Rattus norvegicus: one gene and its partners. The protein of the gene in region 1 purifies or fractionates together with the protein of each later gene. This does not show direct contact. Links are inferred from orthologs where the notes say so. Each region holds a gene or a part of one and is shown on either strand. Other genes may lie near its edges.

The links.
Region 2: the proteins of Uxt (region 1) and Ppp1ca purify together in Homo sapiens (affinity purification with mass spectrometry; 5 studies listed by BioGRID and IntAct, counting the BioPlex papers as one, with this or other methods). This does not show direct contact. The link is inferred for Rattus norvegicus from reciprocal best matches to the Homo sapiens genes UXT and PPP1CA.
Region 3: the proteins of Uxt (region 1) and Polr3b purify together in Homo sapiens (affinity purification with mass spectrometry; 3 studies listed by BioGRID and IntAct, counting the BioPlex papers as one, with this or other methods). This does not show direct contact. The link is inferred for Rattus norvegicus from reciprocal best matches to the Homo sapiens genes UXT and POLR3B.
Region 4: the proteins of Uxt (region 1) and Ppp1cc purify together in Homo sapiens (affinity purification with mass spectrometry; 4 studies listed by BioGRID and IntAct, counting the BioPlex papers as one, with this or other methods). This does not show direct contact. The link is inferred for Rattus norvegicus from reciprocal best matches to the Homo sapiens genes UXT and PPP1CC.
Region 5: the proteins of Uxt (region 1) and Rpap2 purify together in Homo sapiens (affinity purification with mass spectrometry; 4 studies listed by BioGRID and IntAct, counting the BioPlex papers as one, with this or other methods). This does not show direct contact. The link is inferred for Rattus norvegicus from reciprocal best matches to the Homo sapiens genes UXT and RPAP2.

The regions. Positions count from the first base shown.
Region 1 is NC_086039.1:3,689,895-3,692,453, forward strand, and holds the end of Uxt (protein UXT), read left to right. Parts: intron 1-1,696; coding exon 1,697-1,760; intron 1,761-1,949; coding exon 1,950-2,003; 3' UTR 2,004-2,050; downstream 2,051-2,559. UniProt on the Homo sapiens protein: Involved in gene transcription regulation. Acts in concert with the corepressor URI1 to regulate androgen receptor AR-mediated transcription. Together with URI1, associates with chromatin to the NKX3-1 promoter region.
Region 2 is NC_086019.1:210,913,401-210,917,376, forward strand, and holds the start of Ppp1ca (serine/threonine-protein phosphatase PP1-alpha catalytic subunit), read left to right. Parts: upstream 1-1,175; 5' UTR 1,176-1,243; coding exon 1,244-1,298; intron 1,299-1,756; coding exon 1,757-1,888; intron 1,889-2,020; coding exon 2,021-2,251; intron 2,252-2,755; coding exon 2,756-2,860; intron 2,861-3,811; coding exon 3,812-3,976. UniProt on the Homo sapiens protein: Protein phosphatase that associates with over 200 regulatory proteins to form highly specific holoenzymes which dephosphorylate hundreds of biological targets.
Region 3 is NC_086025.1:20,939,632-20,943,149, reverse strand, and holds part of Polr3b (DNA-directed RNA polymerase III subunit RPC2), read left to right. Parts: intron 1-630; coding exon 631-734; intron 735-1,199; coding exon 1,200-1,366; intron 1,367-3,518. UniProt on the Homo sapiens protein: Catalytic core component of RNA polymerase III (Pol III), a DNA-dependent RNA polymerase which synthesizes small non-coding RNAs using the four ribonucleoside triphosphates as substrates.
Region 4 is NC_086030.1:40,058,488-40,062,521, reverse strand, and holds the start of Ppp1cc (serine/threonine-protein phosphatase PP1-gamma catalytic subunit), read left to right. Parts: upstream 1-1,220; 5' UTR 1,221-1,473; coding exon 1,474-1,528; intron 1,529-4,034. UniProt on the Homo sapiens protein: Protein phosphatase that associates with over 200 regulatory proteins to form highly specific holoenzymes which dephosphorylate hundreds of biological targets.
Region 5 is NC_086032.1:2,329,338-2,333,409, forward strand, and holds the start of Rpap2 (RNA polymerase II subunit B1 CTD phosphatase Rpap2), read right to left. Parts: upstream 2,818-4,072; 5' UTR 2,816-2,817; coding exon 2,743-2,815; coding exon of another isoform or gene 2,719-2,742; exon of another isoform or gene 2,715-2,718; intron 2,095-2,714; coding exon 2,049-2,094; intron 1-2,048. Other genes in the region: Glmn (glomulin), read left to right, coding at 3,932-3,970.

The DNA of each region.
Region 1 (2,559 bases):
TAACACTGACCGCTTCTCACAAAGCCCTTTTGTGCCTCTTGGTCTTTCTGTGCAAAAGACCTTTTCACTGCTTAACTCTCACTTCATCTTCAGTTCTATCTTATTCTTCAGACAGTTCTTCCTTGGTCCACTGTATTCATTTTCACTGATTGTATACATAAGGACTCTCTTAGATGAGACTTGATTCAAGCAGACTTGGACAGAAGGAGTTGACTGATTTATGTAACTCAACAGTCCAGGACTAGGGTGGTTTCAGGCACCTCCGTTTGCCCAGGTGTTTTTCAGCCTTTTCCTAGAGTCCTTTCTGGTACCACCTTCAAAATACCTTGTCCTGTCTGTAAGTGCATTGCCCAACAGCCAGGTGGATTCTTTTAAACCCTAATAAGTTTATTTCTCAAATCAATTTGCATTTGTCCTCCACTGTTAACCTTCTCGTTAGCACCTGATTTAAAGTAAAAGCTAAGGTCTTTGCCATGGTCCTGTAGACTTTCCACCTTCTGCCTCCTTCGCTTGACTTCAGCTCCTTCAATCCTCCTCTTTTTCTTTAGCCACAATGGCTTCTTGGCTGTGCCTGCACCATACCAAGCATGCTCCTACCTCAGCACTTTTGTATTGGTTCTTATTTGTGGTGGAACACTTATCTTCCATATCACCCCCACTAGGTGGGAGAGTTACACATCTGTAATCTCAGCAGTCTGGGCAGGAGGATCTTGAATTGGAAACCAGACTGGACTATATAGTCTCAAAAGGAAAGCTCTCAGTGAAGCCAAACCTGAACAATCTTCGAAACTGAAGCCTCCTCTTTCTACCTCTTCTTTAGTATTTAGTTCCTTATACTATTTATTTCCTTATACTTAACACATCATAATTGTGTTTGTATACTTTGTCTCTTAGTAAATGGCTTAGTGCTTAAGTGTACATACTGCTGTCCAGAGTAACTGAGTTCGGTTCCCAGCACCCATGTCAGGTAGCTCACAACCACCTGTATCTACAGCTCAAGGAATCTCATATCATCTAACATCTGTGGAAATCTACATTCATGGTATATTTCCCACACATATAACACAGATAATTAAAAACTAAAAATAAAGTTTTTTAAAGGAGCTCCAGGAAACCAAGAATTTAGTTTCATTTACTGCTGTTTCTGCTATTTCCCTATTTTAAGTTGCCTGGCATACAGAAGGCATTCAATAATCTTCCCTTCTTATCATCATATAGTCATTGTGATGGGTTTCATAAAGAGTTTCTTTCAAGTATATCACATAATTTGATCGTATTCATAGACCCATACCCCCACTTCCTTCATCCCCATAATCTTTTTTTTTTTTTTTTTTGGAGCTGAGGACCGAACCCAGGGCCTTGCGCTTGCTAGGCAAGCGCTCTACCACTGAGCTAAATCCCAAACCCCTCCCATAATCATTTTTTAACAATTGTTACTACATTTTTTTCTGAGTACATGTGAAGGTTTAAAATCAGTTCTCTCCTCCACTATGTGGATCCTGGATATTGAAATCAAGTTGGCCCTATCACCCTTGATCTTTAAATGGGGAAATTCCAAGAGGTAGCCAGACATCTCTGCATAGGATCAGGGCAGGTCATCCAGGATACAAGCGTTTCTTGAAGTGATGAGGAAGAGTCATCCTCACAGCCTTAAGTGGGGCCCATTTTGCCCTTTCTTGTTCCTTTTTTTTTCTAGGCTCAGCGACAGCCTCACCAAGGACTCCATGAATATCAAGGCCAATATCCACATGATGCTAGAGGTGAGAGCAGCTCACTCCACTCGACCCTTCAAATATATTTAGGGTGATAACCTGAAGACAGGAGAAATCCAAAGAAGGGAGGGGTCATCTTTCCTTCTAAATTAAAAACCAAAGGAGTGAAAATCAGAGCAAACCTGGGACAAGACCTAGACCCAGCCTCTGTTCAGTATACTTTGTCCTCTTTTACAGGGACTTAGAGAACTACAAGGCCTGCAGAATTTCCCAGAGCCATCTCCCCATTGACTGCATCTTCCCAGCCTCCAATATTAAACAGCCTGAATGCCTTGGAATCACATAGCCCTTTTTTCCCCTAATTTTCACTAATTGACTAAGTGCTCCAGAGACCAAAATTACTGGAAGACCCATCCTTTCTGTTGAACCTCTAAAACATTCTTGCCTTTAGAACATCTTGTATTTTCCTCCAGACTTTATGCTTTACCCTCTTTTGTCACCTTTCGAACCTTGACACTGCTCCTCACACTTTAATTCCTTTTCCTAGATATTTGTATTGGTGCCCTTTGTATTACCATAAAGAATGGACTGATTGGTGAGCTGAAGATGAGATTCAATTGGTAGAGTGCTTGCATATCACACATGAAACCTTAAATTCAGTCCCCAGTTCTGTGTACACAAGCTGGATGTGTGGCACACCTGTGACCAGGTCACTCAAAAGATAGAGGCAGAAGGATTTTTAAGTTTAAGGCAATCCTGGGCTACATGAGACCCTTGAAACAAATTTTTAAGGTTCCAGTTCAAAGTGATTTGTTTCCATGGCCCTCAGCTTTTTACTTCATATCCT
Region 2 (3,976 bases), on another chromosome or scaffold:
TCACTTCCTCCTCAGTCTCAGCTTCAGCAGCCTATTGGGGGCCCCTCCCTGGTGGGGGGACTCCCCCCTTCCTCTATGAGGTTCTTCCTGCTTGCCTTAGTGCCTGAGCCACGGACTCCTCCCATCACGGATGGGAGGTGTGAAGAGTCCCCGACTTGCCCAAGTTGAAGATGACAGGCCACTATCGGTTTTGAGGTTACTTGCGTGTAAAACCAACTCATGGTTCCAGTAATAATTATGCTTTAATGTCGTCCCACCACTCCAACCCACTGTCCTGGGTTTTCTTTTTTGAGAGTGAAAGGGTACAGTCTGGGAACAAGGGTCTCACGTAGCCCAGGCAGGAGATGAACTCACTATGTAGTTGAGCATGACCCTGAACTTCTGATCCTCCTGTGTCCAGACTCCTGAGTGCTGGAATTTCAGGCACTGGAATTACAGGTTTATGATACATTGGGTTCTTTAATGTGTTACTGTTTAAAAATAATACCTTTCCCCCCTTTTCTTTCTTTACTTTCCTTCCAGAGCCGGAGATAAAACCTCAGGCCTTGCACATGCTAGACAAGTCCAAGCATTCTACAAAGGACTTACAACAGGAAGGAGATAAAATAGTATTACATCACTTAACGAAAAAAAAAACCTGACGTAGCAGGCACCAAGGCAACCTGGACCAAAACATTGCTTCGAGTTCAGTAGCAGGTGTTCATGGGTCTGGCCATAAAGACCGAGGTGAATGTGAGGCTCTGGAGGTTTGGAGCTCACTCTCAGTGTCATTGAGCCTTAGTTCCTTTTTCTGCACTTCGAGGAATTACTTTACAGTGTTTGAGAAGTCAGCGATTAACATGCTCACACCACAATCCCACGCAGGGCTGGGGTGGGAAGAGACTTGGAAAGAGAAAAACAATTTCTACAGTACTTCCGGTTCTAACTCATCAGAACGCAGCAGGGCGATTCCTCCTGGGTGGAGCCGACCCAACTCCGCCCTACAAACCCCGCCCTCCACCCCTGCCAGGCCTCGCCCGGCCGCCCGAGGCCCTCCCCGGCTGCAGTGCTTCCGGTCCAGGGGAGGCGCTAGAGAGCAGGGAACTACGGACGCGGCAGGGCGGGGCGGCCGGCCGAAGAGGCGGGGCGGCGGGCCGAGGGCGGGCTGGGGAGGGCGGAAGGAGAGCCAGGCCGGAAGGAGGCTGCAAGAGGGCGGGAGGCAGGAGAGGGCCCGGAGCTGGTGGGCCGGAGCGGCGGCGCCGCCATGTCCGACAGCGAGAAGCTCAACCTGGATTCCATCATCGGGCGCCTGCTGGAAGGTGGGTAGGGGTAGGGAAGGTGCGCGCGCGCCGAGCCTGGGCCCATCGCCGTCCGGAAGTAGAGCGCGGGCGGGCCCGCCGCTCTCGGGGGCTAGCGTCGCTTGGGCGGGGACAGGCCGTGAGGTTCTATGGCCACGGCAGCCCTCCCTACTCCCTGCGCCTAGGCTTTGGAGCGCGCTCCGAGGCCGGGGACGCTTGAGTGGCCGAGACTCAGGGTGAGACTCCTGCGAAGCTAGCTGGGAAGGGGTTCTGAGGCGAGGAAGCTTCGGTTGACAGGCTGCTGAGCACAGGCGTGTCTCTGGAGGGCCTCCGGGTGGCTAAGGGGTCGTATCTTGCCTTTGAAGGCCTGATGCAAAGGTTTCAGCGGGGGCTCCCTTGCAACAGTTGCTGGTGTTGGGGAGGGGCGCATGACATTCGGTCTGCGAGGTCAGGGTCCCAAGACCCTATTCCGTACCCAGTGCAGGGCTCACGGCCTGGAAAGAATGTGCAGCTGACAGAGAACGAGATCCGTGGTCTTTGCCTCAAATCCCGGGAGATTTTCCTGAGCCAGCCTATTCTTCTGGAGCTTGAGGCGCCTCTCAAGATCTGTGGTAAGCCCTTGCTCAGAACCCCTTAGCTTCCTCAAAATAGCCCCTTACTCCTGCCCCAGTACCTGTGTTTCCGTTGCTGGCCCTGGGTTCAAGTTTACATCTTGGACCTACCTAGTCTTCTCTGGTTCCCAGGTGACATCCATGGCCAGTACTATGACCTTCTACGGCTGTTCGAGTATGGTGGCTTCCCTCCAGAGAGCAACTACCTCTTCTTGGGGGACTATGTGGATCGGGGAAAGCAGTCTTTGGAGACCATCTGCTTGTTGCTGGCCTATAAGATCAAATACCCGGAGAATTTCTTTCTACTACGTGGGAACCATGAGTGTGCCAGCATCAACCGCATCTATGGCTTCTATGATGAATGTGAGTGCTTTGAATGTTGCTGGTTGCCCAGAACTACATTTCCTGCACTTCATGGGCCCCCTAAATTGTTCTAGTGCTGAGAACCCTGATGATGGGTCCTGCAAAGCCCCAACCAAGCTGTCTGTTATCCATGGCACCAAGGAAGGGCCTGGTGAATGGATGTACATGCAGGGCTGCCCGTTTGCTAAAGCTTCCTCCACAGCCCTGCCCGATGACACTTCCCTCTATTGCATCCCTTACTAAGCATTTAGGGTGCATGTTATGAATAAACCAGACACTGAGGTTAGGCCAGACTGGAGTTCAGGTTCTTGTGGACCCAGGTGTTGGAATTCTGGAAGGTAGATGAGGGCAGAGCAAGGAAACTGTAATAAGCTTTCTTTGCCTTCTAGTCTTTGCACTTTGTCAGAGTAACCCACAAAGTACCCTGGAGGAGTGCACAGAAAACTATAGACTGGGTTTTGTGTGGTGGGTGGTCTTCCCTACGAGCCATTTTCTTCTGTGCAGGCAAGAGACGATACAACATCAAACTGTGGAAGACTTTCACCGACTGCTTCAACTGCCTGCCCATTGCAGCCATTGTAGATGAGAAGATCTTCTGCTGCCACGGAGGTCAGGATGGTTGTGGGGTCTGTGCTTGGGCTATATCCTTAGGGGCCTTGGAAAGTTAACAGAACTCTCCTGTTTCCTGGAGTAGCTCTCCTTGAATTTGGCTGTCACTTATTACAGGTCACCCACAGCCCAGTTTGTTTTTGAGACAGGGTTTTTCTGTGTTCTGGAACTCACAAGAGTTCTGGTTATCTCTGCCTTCCAAGTGATGGGACTAAAGGCCTGCACCACCTCACCTGGCTACACACCCCAGTTCGACTGCGCTTTCCTGTTGTGGTATTTAGCATGCTATAGGCAACTCATTCATCTCCTTCCCCCACGGAGGTCTACTCTTTTTTTTTTTTTTAAATATTTATTTTATTTATTATATATGAGTACACTGTAGCTGTCTTCAGATACACCAGATCTCTTTATAGATGGTTGTGAGCCACCATGTGGTTGCTGGGAATTGAACTCATGACCTCTGGAAGAGCAGTCGGGTGCTCTTAACCGCTGAGCCATCTCTCCAGCCCGTACTCTTTGTACTTCTAAAAGCTGAGGGATGGCCAGGTGGCGGTGGCATACAAAGGGAGTTCCCTGGGTTGGGGATTTAGCTCAGTGGTAGAGTGCTTGCCTAGCAAGCACAAGGCCCTAGGTTCGGTCCCCAGCTCCGGGAAAAAAAAATGTTAATACATAAAATATCCAATAAAAAAAAAACTGAAAAAACATATTCCTAAAAAAAAAAAAACAAAAACAAAAACAAAAAAAACAAAGGGAGTTCCCAGACAGCCAAGGCCACATAGAGAAATGGGGCCAGCAGGAATATAATGAACTCTGTTTCCCTAAACTTAAGGAGCCCAAAAGATGAACCCAGCGTTGGTGGGGAAAGTGGAGCTGACCCCTGAGACCTTTCTGGGCATGGGATAGTACCTGCTTTTCGGTGTAAGGAACACTATTCTCACTCTACCACCCCAGGCCTGTCTCCAGACTTGCAATCCATGGAGCAGATTAGACGTATTATGCGGCCCACGGACGTGCCTGACCAGGGCCTGTTGTGTGATCTGCTGTGGTCTGACCCTGACAAGGATGTTCAAGGCTGGGGCGAGAATGACCGTGGAGTCTCCTTTACCTTTGGGGCCG
Region 3 (3,518 bases), on another chromosome or scaffold:
TTGCCTGCATGTATGGATGTTAGATTCCCCTGGAACCAGAGTTACAGACAGTTGTGAGCTGCCATGTGGGTGCTGGGAACCGAACTCGGGTCCTTTGGAAGAGCAGCCAGCTAACCACTGAACTGTCTCTGCAGCCCACACAAAGGTTTGTTGTCCTGGTTTAAATCCACATTTTACACATTTAGTTGTATTCAATCATTCTTTGTTGGTGGTTTGAGAATTTGCATTCCTGTGGTTTGGGCACAAAACCCAGCAGACCACAACCTCGCTGACAAGAAGCAGAAACTGTGGATTGAAAAGCTTCCGGGACGAGAGCCGGCTCGAGCCTGCCCTTTGGTCTTCGTGGTGCTCAGGGAAGGTAGGCAGGCGGCCTGACAGCAGCACCGCACCATTGTGTGCCATGCCAGCATGCCACTCGGCGGCCTACAATGCTTTTCTGCAAGGAGAGTCGTTTTGAACTGCTTGGCTAGCAGGGTTGTTGGAAATTGCTTTTGTTGCTCTTGATGGAGGCCATGGGGAGGGTTTCAGAACAGTGGGAATAGAAACAGCAGCAGGGAGATCCCAATTAAGTACTGTGTTCTTCCCTCCTGCCCATTTGCTTCCCGTGCTGTGAAATCTCCTGTCCCCCAGGTGTCTGCGGCCTGATCGTCCCCCAAGAAGACATGCCGTTCTGTGACTCTGGCATCTGTCCCGACATCATAATGAACCCTCACGGCTTCCCATCGAGAATGACGGTCAGTCACCTTTGGGCTTTTTAGCAGCACTGCTCTGAGGGAAAGAAGCAGGCAGTTAGTTTAGTTACACTGAGTGGCCCCCTGACGGATAAACGGACTCCTTGCCCTGTCCCTCACTGTCCTCTGGGACACAGAGTCCTGTGTGCTGAGCCTACCTCCATGTCTCTTTGAGCAGTCACTTCCTGTAATCTGCAATCCTGTCGCAGGCCAAGGGGCCGTGGCCACAGTGCTTAGCTCTGTACTTGAGTTTCAATATCTGAAAACTAGGGAATTCAGTCCGGGAAGTTAGTCCCACAGGCCAGGGTTCTTCGGCAGGATACCCAGGAATGCTGGTGTTGGTAATGTTTCACTATCGCTGGGTGTGGTTGAAGCTGCTTTTTCAAAACATAAGCCAAAGGCAGGGATGCTGGGAGAACTGACAGCCGGGCGGGCACTCACGTAGTCTGTCCCCTTCCTGTCTCACAGGTTGGAAAGTTGATTGAGTTGCTGGCCGGCAAGGCAGGCGTGTTAGACGGCAGGTTCCACTACGGCACCGCCTTTGGAGGGAGTAAAGTGAAGGACGTGTGTGAAGACCTCGTTCGCCATGGTTACAACTACCTGGGGAAGGACTATGTCACCTCGGGCATCACCGGGTGAGTGTGCTGCTAAACAAATGCTAGAGATCGGAGGTGAGGGCCTGAAGAAGCGGGCCAATGAGGTATAACATTCCCAGACTGCCTTAGTGGGAAGGAACGAAGCCTCGCTGCTTTAGGAAACCTGATCCAAGAAAGGCCACATTTAAGAAGCCAGATATTGAGGACCACTAGTTGTGTGGTAGGACTGTCATTTTTTTTTTTTTTTTTTTCGGAGCTGGGGACCGAATCCAGGGCCTTGCGCTTCCTAGGTAAGCGCTCTACCACTGAGCTAAATCCCCAGCCCCCAGGACTGTCATTTTAACAAGCTTGGATTTCTGCGTTGCTTTTGTGGACTACGTTAACTGCATCTGATGCAGTGTTTCCCAGACTGCTAGATTTGTGTGGAGCACCAGAGACAGTGCTTGGTTTCATACCCTGGAGCCCGGTGCTCACATCTAATATGTGCTACATATCGAAGGGACTGCAGTAAATAAAACCACAGAGCTGGCCAATTCGATTTGTTATTGGACGTGGAATAGTAGCAAACACAAGGTGATTTCCAGCAGGCCTTCAGTGACTGCCTGCCAAGCAGGTGGTTGTCTGGTTTGGTTTGGCTTTGAGGTTTTTGTTTTTGTTCTGTGTTGCCGAGGATTGATTCCAGGGCTTCATGCATGCTTAGAAGCACGCCATGACTGAGCCTCACCTCTGCCCACTGACTACCCAATTCAACTCCGCTCTGGTGCTGCCTGTCTCTGCCCCACTGCTCTCCATAGCCGTCGGTCCTCAGATACTGCTGTCTGTCTCCCAGCTGAGACATAGCCTCCGTGAGAGCAGGCTGCCATGCTGTGTCTACTGCTCGGTCTCCACAGCCTACCACAGCACCTCACAGCACAGCTTCAGTAATGCCCGGCAGGCAAATCTGAGAACCAGCGCTCAGTCATGAAGACGAGGAGGAGGAGGAGAGAGTGTGTAAGACATGGAGGGACAAAAGCTGTGCCCTTCAGAGTGTTGCACAGAGGAAAGTACACTTACTGAGTAGACCCCAAGAACTGGTAGGTGCCCACCCAACTGTTATTCCAGAAGGAGGTAGCTGTACAGCCTGAGGTGAGGTTGGACAAGACAGGGCGAAGGGTCTAGCTGCCATCTTTGAAGGACACAAGTCCATGCAACTACTGTGGATGACGAGGTCTTGAAACAGCCCACATAGAATGTACGATCAAATGGTCTGTATGGAACCCTGTGACACATAAAATACCCAGGGGGCGGAGACAGAGCTCAGCGGTTAAAAACACTGGCTGCTGCTCCACAGGACCCAAGTTTGGGATCCAACACCTTCTGGCCTCCAACCATGGACATGTAGGCACTCGCCCGTGCGCACACAGAGTGAGTGAGTGAGGAGTGAGTGAGTGAGCGAGCGAGTGAGTGACTGAGTGACTGAGAGAGTGAGTGAGTGAGCAACTGAGTGAGTGAGTGGGTGAATGAGTGAGTGAGTGAGTGAGTGAGTGAATGAGTGAGTGAGTGAATGAGTGAGTGAGTGAATGAGTGAGTGAGTGAATGAGTGAGTGAATGAGTGAGTGAATGAATGAGTGAGTGAATGAGTGAGTGAATGAGTGAGTGAATGAATGAGTGAGTGAATGAGTGAGTGAATGAGTGAGTGAATGAGTGAGTGAGTGAGCAACTGAGTGAGTGGGTGAGTGAGTGAATGAGTGAGTGAGTGAATGAGTGAGTGAGCGAGCGAGTGAGTGAATGAGTGAGTGAGTGAGGAGTGAATGAGTGAGCAAGCGAGTGAGTGAGTGACTGACTGAGAGTGAGTGAGTGAGTGAATGAGTGAATAGGTGAATGAGTGAGTGAGCGAGCGAGTGAGTGAGCGAGCAACTGAGTGAGTGAATGAGTGAGTGAGTAATGAGTGAGTGAATGAGTGAGTGAGTAATGAGTGAGTGAATGAGTAGGTAAATGAGTGAGCGAGCGAGTGAGTGAGTGAATGAGTAGGTAAATGAGTGAGCGAGGGAGTGAGTGAGTGAACCTTTGTATTAAGACCTCAGGGTCACGCTGGAGCATGGGCGAGGACATGGTGCTTAATGTATTACTATGAAGAAGTGCTCCAGAAGGGAGAGCGCCTGCCCGCAACCCGTTTCTGCTGGAAATATGGATCCAGTGCTTGTGCAGATGG
Region 4 (4,034 bases), on another chromosome or scaffold:
TGCATCCCACACCACAATGCGGCGCCGTGGGAAGACAGAGCTTGCAGAAAATGAATCTCTAGATGGGGAAACCACCTCGCAAGGCATGCATGGAAAGGAGTCTTCCGATCCTTCCTGCTTTGAGAAACATGATGAACTGGAATGGGGACTGGGGGAGAGAGTACTTTGTAAACTCTGGAGTGCTACTGGGAGAGATAAATGGGTCAGATGGGTGTGCATTTCTTCCAATATGCAGCTAGCCTGAGTGGCAGCAGAGTTGGGGACCCCTGGGTGAAGGGGTGCCCCTGGGGAGTCGAGGAAGCTAGAGGCAAGCAGCCGCTGAATGTGCTGAAACCTGGAGCGCACAGCAGCCTCTAACATCCGCGTTCCTAGCGCGAAATGTGCAAATTCCCATTTTCTCTGCTCCGGCGCGCTCATTCAACCCAGCTCGGGCTAAATGCAGGGGAATCTCTCCGTTATTATTTAACTTTCTGAGTTCAAGGAAGACAATTTGAAAGATAGATAGCATCCCTTACAGAATTCTCCCAACCTCTCTCTAAAAATGTAAAATTGCAGAAATGCACACAAGAAGCACACACATTACCGAAATAATGTGCTACTCACGATGGATTAACATTTTGGGCTTATCTTGGGGTCTTCTTTTTTCCCCCAAATATTGGATCTTAGGTGCTTTATTGCAGAATTACTAAATCTTGCCAGTGCTGGGGCTTGAACCAAAGATCTCACACATACTAGACAAGAGTTCTTACCATGGAGCCGTGTATTTAGCTCTTCCTATTCACCAATGAGCCGGAATATTTGAATCCCCAACGCTCCAACCTCCTCCTCTTTAGGGTACTCCACGGGCAACCCCACCCCAGATTGGTTCCGAGGGGTGACTCCCTAATGGGTTCCCACCCGGCCAGGTCGACCGACTTCTGTCTCAAAGCAGCAGAGTCGGGAGGAGAGGGTGACCCTTGCAGCGCATAGCCGCCGGTCAATGCCCATCTCCAACTCGCGCGCGCCAACTTTGCAACTTCACTCTCCCGCCACGGGGGGGTCTATTTCCCCCGCCCGTTTGGCGGAAGGATCCCGCGCGCTGTTGCAGCGTCGCTCAACCGTCTCTGCCCGGGCTCCGCCCCCCGTGGGCCAAACCCCGCCCCCTCCTGCAGATGGCCCCGCCCCCTCCCGCGCGCCCTATGGGCCTGTAAAGAAGTCCCGGCCCGGCCGCTGCACTCCCGCGCGCGCATCCGTGCGCCGCCCGAGGCTGGCCTGAGGAGTCGGCGGCCATTTTGTTCTTCTCGTGGTTCCAGTGGCGAGAGGAGGAGGAAGCCGGGAGCGGGGCGGCTGGGGGGGGGACCCGCCGCGGCTGCTGCTGCCACCGCCGCCGCCACCACCGCTCGTGGGGCTCGTGGCGTGAAGAAGGAGGACGAGTGAGACCCGGGCGCGAGCCGGCGGCGGCGCCGCTGCGGGAGGGTCGGCGGCGGGACGGCGATGGCGGATATCGATAAACTCAACATCGACAGTATCATCCAACGGCTGCTGGAAGGTGAGCGGCGCGCGGGCGGGCGGGCGGGCGGCGGGTTGGGCCGGTGGGGACCAGGCCCAGTAGAGGCCGGTCTTTCTCGGGAGCCGCTTGGATCTGGGGCGCGCACACAGCGCCTCCCGGTCTGGGGACCCTGCCTTTTTGTCACCCCCCTGCCCTTGCTTTCACATTCTCATTATCCGGAGTCCAAGGACCCATCAGTGTGACTTGGCAGGGCGACGTCCCAGTGCGATGAGAGCCCGTCTCCTTCATTTTCCTCCCCCAACCCCCCCACACCCCAAAGCCATCCTCCTCCCTCCAGTGCTCTTTCCCCTTGAACGTGCATCCGCACACGGACCCAGCCCGGGTGACTGTGGCTCTCTGCTCATCAGATTGTTGTCCTGAGGACAGGGGGACGCTGCTGCGTTCAGCGAGCACCTGCCAGGTAGGTGCTGTTATCCTGGAAGTGTGTTTCGCAAGAGAAACTTCAAAAAGACCTCGCTGGACCAAGGATGCAGTTAACAATCAGGTTTAAAACCCCGGGTTGCCAGGACCGAGGTAGAACCTGCCACCTTTCCACCGTTCACCCTGTGGGAACACAGAATTTCCAGTGGTTGAGTAAAGGTTAAAAATACAGCTTTCCTTTTGTCCAACCTGGGGCGGGGGGGACGGCTCTGCAGTGGATTCCTACTTTCGATATTCAGATTTTACATAGGTCTGAAAACCTGCTCCTCACAAATCCCACAGCGTATCTGCTAAAGCTAAGGAGAAGGGGAATCCAGTAACCTTCTTGCTTTCACTGCTTTTGCCTAAAATATTGGTGGAGTGGTGGACAGCTGCTTAATTCTGGTGGTAGATGTTTTCAAGTCGCTGAAAGAAAAGTCAAAAAGTGTGTTTTTTGTTTTTTTTTTAAATGGTCATTTCCCCCTCTCTAATGCTGTGTTCTGTTTTGTTTAGATAGGGTTTCTTGGCTTTGGTTTTATAGAGACATGGTCTCTCCAGTCCTGGTTATCCTGGAGCTCCATGTGTGGACCAGGCTAGCCTCAAACTCTCACAGATCTTTCTTCCTCCCCCTCCTCATTGATGGCATCTTCTGTATCACCATGCCTCCTAGATACAGGGTCTCAGGAGTCAGAACTGGCGTTAAACACTGATCCTTCTGCCTCCTCCCAAGTACTAGAATTGTATAGACCACTAAGCCTGACTTACTTGTTTTTTCCTGTGGAATGTGTGGGATGCAGGCAGACCACAGCACACATGTGTGTGGATGCAGGCAGACCACAGCACACATGAGGAGGTTGAGAGGACAGTTGGGTGTAGTAGGTTCTCTCCTGTTGTTTGGATTCTGGGAATCAAACGCCGGTCAGGCTTGCAAGGCAGACTTTCCACTGACTAAACCATCTCATCAGCTTCCCTTTCTCCCTCTTTAAAAAAAACATTTTCTATTTGCAAGAATTTGCCTGCATGTATGTATGTGCATCATATGCTGAAGAAAAGGGCATTGGGTCCTTGGGTACTGAAGTTACAGGTAGACCTGAACTATCACGTGTGGGTACTAGAAGTGGAGCCCAGATTGTCTCCAAGAACCGTCATCACTTCAGTCCCCCAACCATCTACCCCCATCTCCCCGTTTTCTGGCTGGTCTCTGTCTCAGCTGTCCACAGTGTTGGAATTAAAAGCTTTCACCACACCTGGCTTCCCATAGTTTCTTAGTTACTTTTTAAATTTTGAGACTGGATATTGCTGTGTCCCAAAGGCTGGCCTGGATTTCAGAGATCCGCCTGCCTCTGCCTCCTGAGTGCTAGCATTCAAAGCTGTACTATCATGTCTGGCCTGATTTATTCTTTTCTGTTGAACTTAACAGAGTAAGCCACCATTTAAATAACATTGAGAGTAACTAGCTGTGTAGTGCATGTGTGTGTTTCTTACTTATGGAAGTGCTTGACAGAGGCCACAGGGATCTGATCAGAGGATGATGGGATTGCATTCTTTGTAATGCCCTCAGAAACGGCTCTGCGGGTTTTGGCTCTTGTCCTTAATTCTGAAGACTCGATTTGATCTTCAGGACCCACATGAGATTCAGGAGAGAACTGGAGGGTTGTCCTCTCCCTTCCCTCCATCCACAACTGCTCTAGCAAGTGTGGCGCTGCACACATGCACACACACATAAGAAGATATAAAAGGAACTACGGGCCTAATTCTGAAAGGGAGAGATAAGATTTGTCACCTGATGAAGCGGTGTTTCTCCATATTGGTAATTGATACCTTTCAGTCAGGGCAGCTTGCTTACCCCCACACTGGAGTGTGAGGCATGAAAAGCCAGAAGTTCTAGGGCAGGGTAGCAAGAGCTCATATGTGGAACCCTTCCGTAAGATCGTCCAAACTAGGGCTGAATGAAGGAGTTGAGAAGGGGGTCTTTTAAAGGTTAAGGCGGCACTGAGCACACACCTTTAATCCTAGAAGGAAGAATTAGGAGGCCAGTCTGGTCTATATACCAGATTCCACACCAGTCAACTATATGTAATAAGAC
Region 5 (4,072 bases), on another chromosome or scaffold:
ACAAGGAAGACTCCGGTAGGAGGAGGGCTGGGCAGGGGACTTGGTGGTACATGGTCACACACTTGGGGGCAGGCAGTGGGGAGATTCAGAGTTCAAGGCAAGTGTGATGTACACAGTAAGAACTTACATTTTGAGGGCTGTTTTACTCTGCCACAGAAACGAACAGACATGACTTCTACTCCCCACCACCCCCAGCCCCAATAATCTAGGCTGTTCACTGAGGTAGCCCAATTGCTCTGCAGTGCAAGAGCGAAGCTACCTCAGTGAACAGCCTAGCCTAGCTGCACAGCAGGAACAGACACCAGAACTAGCTCTGCTGGTCACCTGGTCTTACCCTTCTCCCTCACATTCGGACACATTCTCAAGTGTTCACGTGAAGGTAGGGAACTTCACTGACTTTTGAGACTTCAGACTCTAGTTCTTTGTCTAGAGCAGTATGTCCCCTCCAACTCCCCATAACTTAGAACTCTCGTACAGTTTCACCAACAATTCTTTTAGCAGAACACACGACAATGAGAATCTTGCAACCAAACACCCATTTTTATCCCATCATTTCATCAAGATCATTTTATTGTTATTTTAAGACGCCAGGGGCCTCATACATGCTAAGCAAGCACTCCACTACTGAGCTATAATCACTTAAGTCCATAAAGACCACGTTTGTATCAAAGAAACTCAAAAGATATGAGCGCAGATTACATTACAGGTCTTTATATTAAATATGAAAGGCTATTTTTTCCCGTTTTGCGCCCATCAGTAAAGGTGATGTCATACAATTTGCTGGCTCAAATCGTCCGGCACACTGACTGTTTAACCATTCTGTAGACAGAAATCTACAGCTCCTTACTATGCTCTCTGTCTCAGTGTTGTACCTTCTGTCACAAAAGAGGATAGTCAATGTTGTTCTGGCGGGCTTAGGTCAACTGACACACACACTACGGTCACTGGAGAGCAGGGAATGGCTCAGTAAGATCCAGCTGTAGGCAAGCCTGTGGGCATTTTCTTAATTAACGATTGATGGGAAGGGCCCAGCCCATTGTGGGTAATGTTATCCAAGGGCTTACGCTATATGCAAGTAAGCTGAGCAAGTCATGTTGAACACGCCAGTAGGCAGCACTCCTCCATGGCCTCTGCATCCGCTCCTGCCTCAAGGTTCCTGCCCTGTGTGAGTTCCTGCACTGACTTTCTTGAGTGGTGAACAGTGATGTGGAAGTGTACGCCGCCTATCCCTACCTCCAGAGTGCTGGGGTTAAAGGTGTGCACCCCCACACCTGACTAGCTTAAGGATCACCCACCTCCCTGCCAACCCCTATCTAAACTATTCGTTCCTCATAACATCGGCCATTTTCCTTATATCACTTAGTGCAGTTTCTAATTATGTATTCACCTGTGCTAGTTTGACTGGAATGTCTTAGTTACGGTGAGCAGAAACGACTTGTTCAATGACACATCCTAAGGGCCTAACTCAAATACAGACTATCCTGTATCTGGGAAATATCTTGAAAGAACAATCAGTGAATCTCGGAGTCGTAAATTACAGATACTTTTAGTGTCTTCAGATGAGTCTTGTTCTAGATATCTTTTTCTGACATGAGAGACCATGGCTTTTTGGAAGCTCTAAACAGTAAGGATGCTTCTAACTCCCTACTTAATGTCACAAAGACGGCAAAAGGCCCCTGGAAGTGATAAAGAAAGAAGCTGTTTCAGCGAGTCTGGCACAAACAACAGTAAGGGTGAACCTGAAGAGATGGGAAAGGAATGGTTAGCTCAGGAATGATGTTCTCACAGCTGTTCACAATAGTTTCCAACAGCCTGAGCCTCCAGGTTGGTTCCCCTAAAGCTGGAGGACATAGCAGTCTTGCATGAGAACTGACAGTCTTCTCTTAAGTATTTTCTCAAGAAATATGAGAGTAAATTAGCTTATACCAAGTCCCAAGTTCAATTCCCAGATTCCCAAGGCCAGAAAACAGAACATCAAAACCGAAAAATCAGACTGAATTAAAATGAGATAAAAGGAAAGTGAAACCCAGTTTTCCGGGTGGTTATACCTTTTAGACGCATCTCTTCGTTTCAGGGCACTGGTCTGTTTAGTACCTACAATTGAAGAGAGAACAGACAAGTGCAAATGCATTTGATGTAGCAGAGTCTTCCTCAAATATCACACTGTAGGCATCGTTTCCTTTTCTCTCACACATCTCATTTCCCGATGTGTTGAAAACAAAAAATAAAAAAAGATGGGGGGAAGGGGTGTTTAAACAGGAAGCAAATTCCACTGTTTTTGTAAATTAATTAAATTTCAAATTTTCATGCCTACAGTCTCTTCAAGGACTGCCCTTTCTCACATACCGTACGTGCTTTAATCAAGTGCTTCTTAAAAACCCTCTAAGCTCGGTTCCTTTAGAATAAACATTGCTTGGTCTCCCAAATGTTCACTTGCTAAGAGTCTGAGATCTCAGAGACCGGTACCAAAGCAGTCCCAAGTTTAAGGGAACTGAACACCACCTGCCTTGGTCACTTGTTCCCTGGGGTCCCAAGCACAGACCACGTGGAGGGGGGAGATCCTAAAATCCCGGTGTTAGACTGTGGGATTCTTCCACGGAAGGAACCAGGGCAGCCTGCGGTGGGAAGCTCTGGGTCTCTCCCCTCACCCCCTTGGCGCAGCCTCAGAAAGAGCACCGCGCGTGCGTAGTACTCAGACCAAGGTCTCAGGGTCCCAACCTGGGAAGAGGCTCTTGTTCGTACCGGTAGCGACTCGGTGGGTGCTGGAAGCCCGGGCACTTGGGCCCAGAGAGTAAGGAACAGCAGAGTCCGCCATGGGAAATGCCGTCAGAAGCTAGGGGCGGGACAGCTCAGCAGCCGCGAGGTTCTACCTCCTTTCACATCGCCCTGAACCAAGCTGGGGGCGGGCCCAGGGAGGGCGGGGCTAGCTGCGGAGGGGGCGGGCCCAGGAGGGCGGGGCGAGCGGGGCGGGGCGAGCTGCAGAGGGGGCGGGCCCAGGAGGGCGGGGCGAGCGGGGGCGGGGCGATCGGCGGCGGGGGCGGGTCCAGTGAGGGGAAGAGGCGAGCTGCAGAGGGGGCGGGCCCAGCGCGGGGCGGGGTGAGCGGCGGAGGGGGCGTGCCCCAGACCGGGGGCGGGGTCATGAGTGCGGCCTACGTAGCCAGAGTGGAGACGGAGGGCAAGAAGCAGGCGCGTGGACTGGCGGGTAGGTGGACGTGCAGGATCAGGGTGGATCGGGCTCGCCGAACACGACCTGCGCCGCACGCGGCTCGCCTGCTAGGCCCCTGGAGGTGCTGGAGCCTGGACGCCCTGCTCTACAGGAGCTGGGGGAGGAAGAAATGGCCTCCTTTCGGCTCAGCCCACAGGCGCGGTAGGATGTGATTTTCCTGTTCGCGCCTGCAGGGCAAGGACCATCACTGCTGGCCTCATTTTCGTGATATTTGGTGATCTCACTGATGATTGTTTCTGTGATGAGGGAGGTCCTGTGGAGAACGGGGTGGGCGGCATCGGAATCTTCAACTTCTTGGGGTGACTTAATGGTGTCGGATTCCAGTTTTTGTCAATGGGACATTTAAAAAATTACCTAATGTTTCATTCAAGGTCCATAGTGTGAATTTTTGTTTTTCATGAAGGATTACTTTCTCCTTTTAAAGAAGGGTCTTCTAGTAGTTCTTTCTAGGGCTCTTTTTCTTTTTTTACTTACCATTCTTTCAAAATTCTGCTGTTTAGGCATTACAGTAGGGGCTTTAAAAATGCTTCATTAGGCCAAGGCACTAACGTTCAGTAATAGCAGTTAACCTATAAAACTTTTCATTGTGTTGTCTAATAATTCAAAATGAAACAGTTTATGAAACATGAAAGTTACATGGTATCACACAATTAACTGTTTTGTATTAGTTCATTTCAGCATCAAAACTAGGAAAAGTAATTAGGAATGGCTGTGGAGGAACTTCAGTGCATAATAAAAAGATGTGTAAGTAATTCTCCAAAACGCCTTTAAATATACGGGAAGAACATAGTGTATCTTTACTTTGTAGTCACTCATATTATTTATCTTACTAATTTCTGCTTTTTT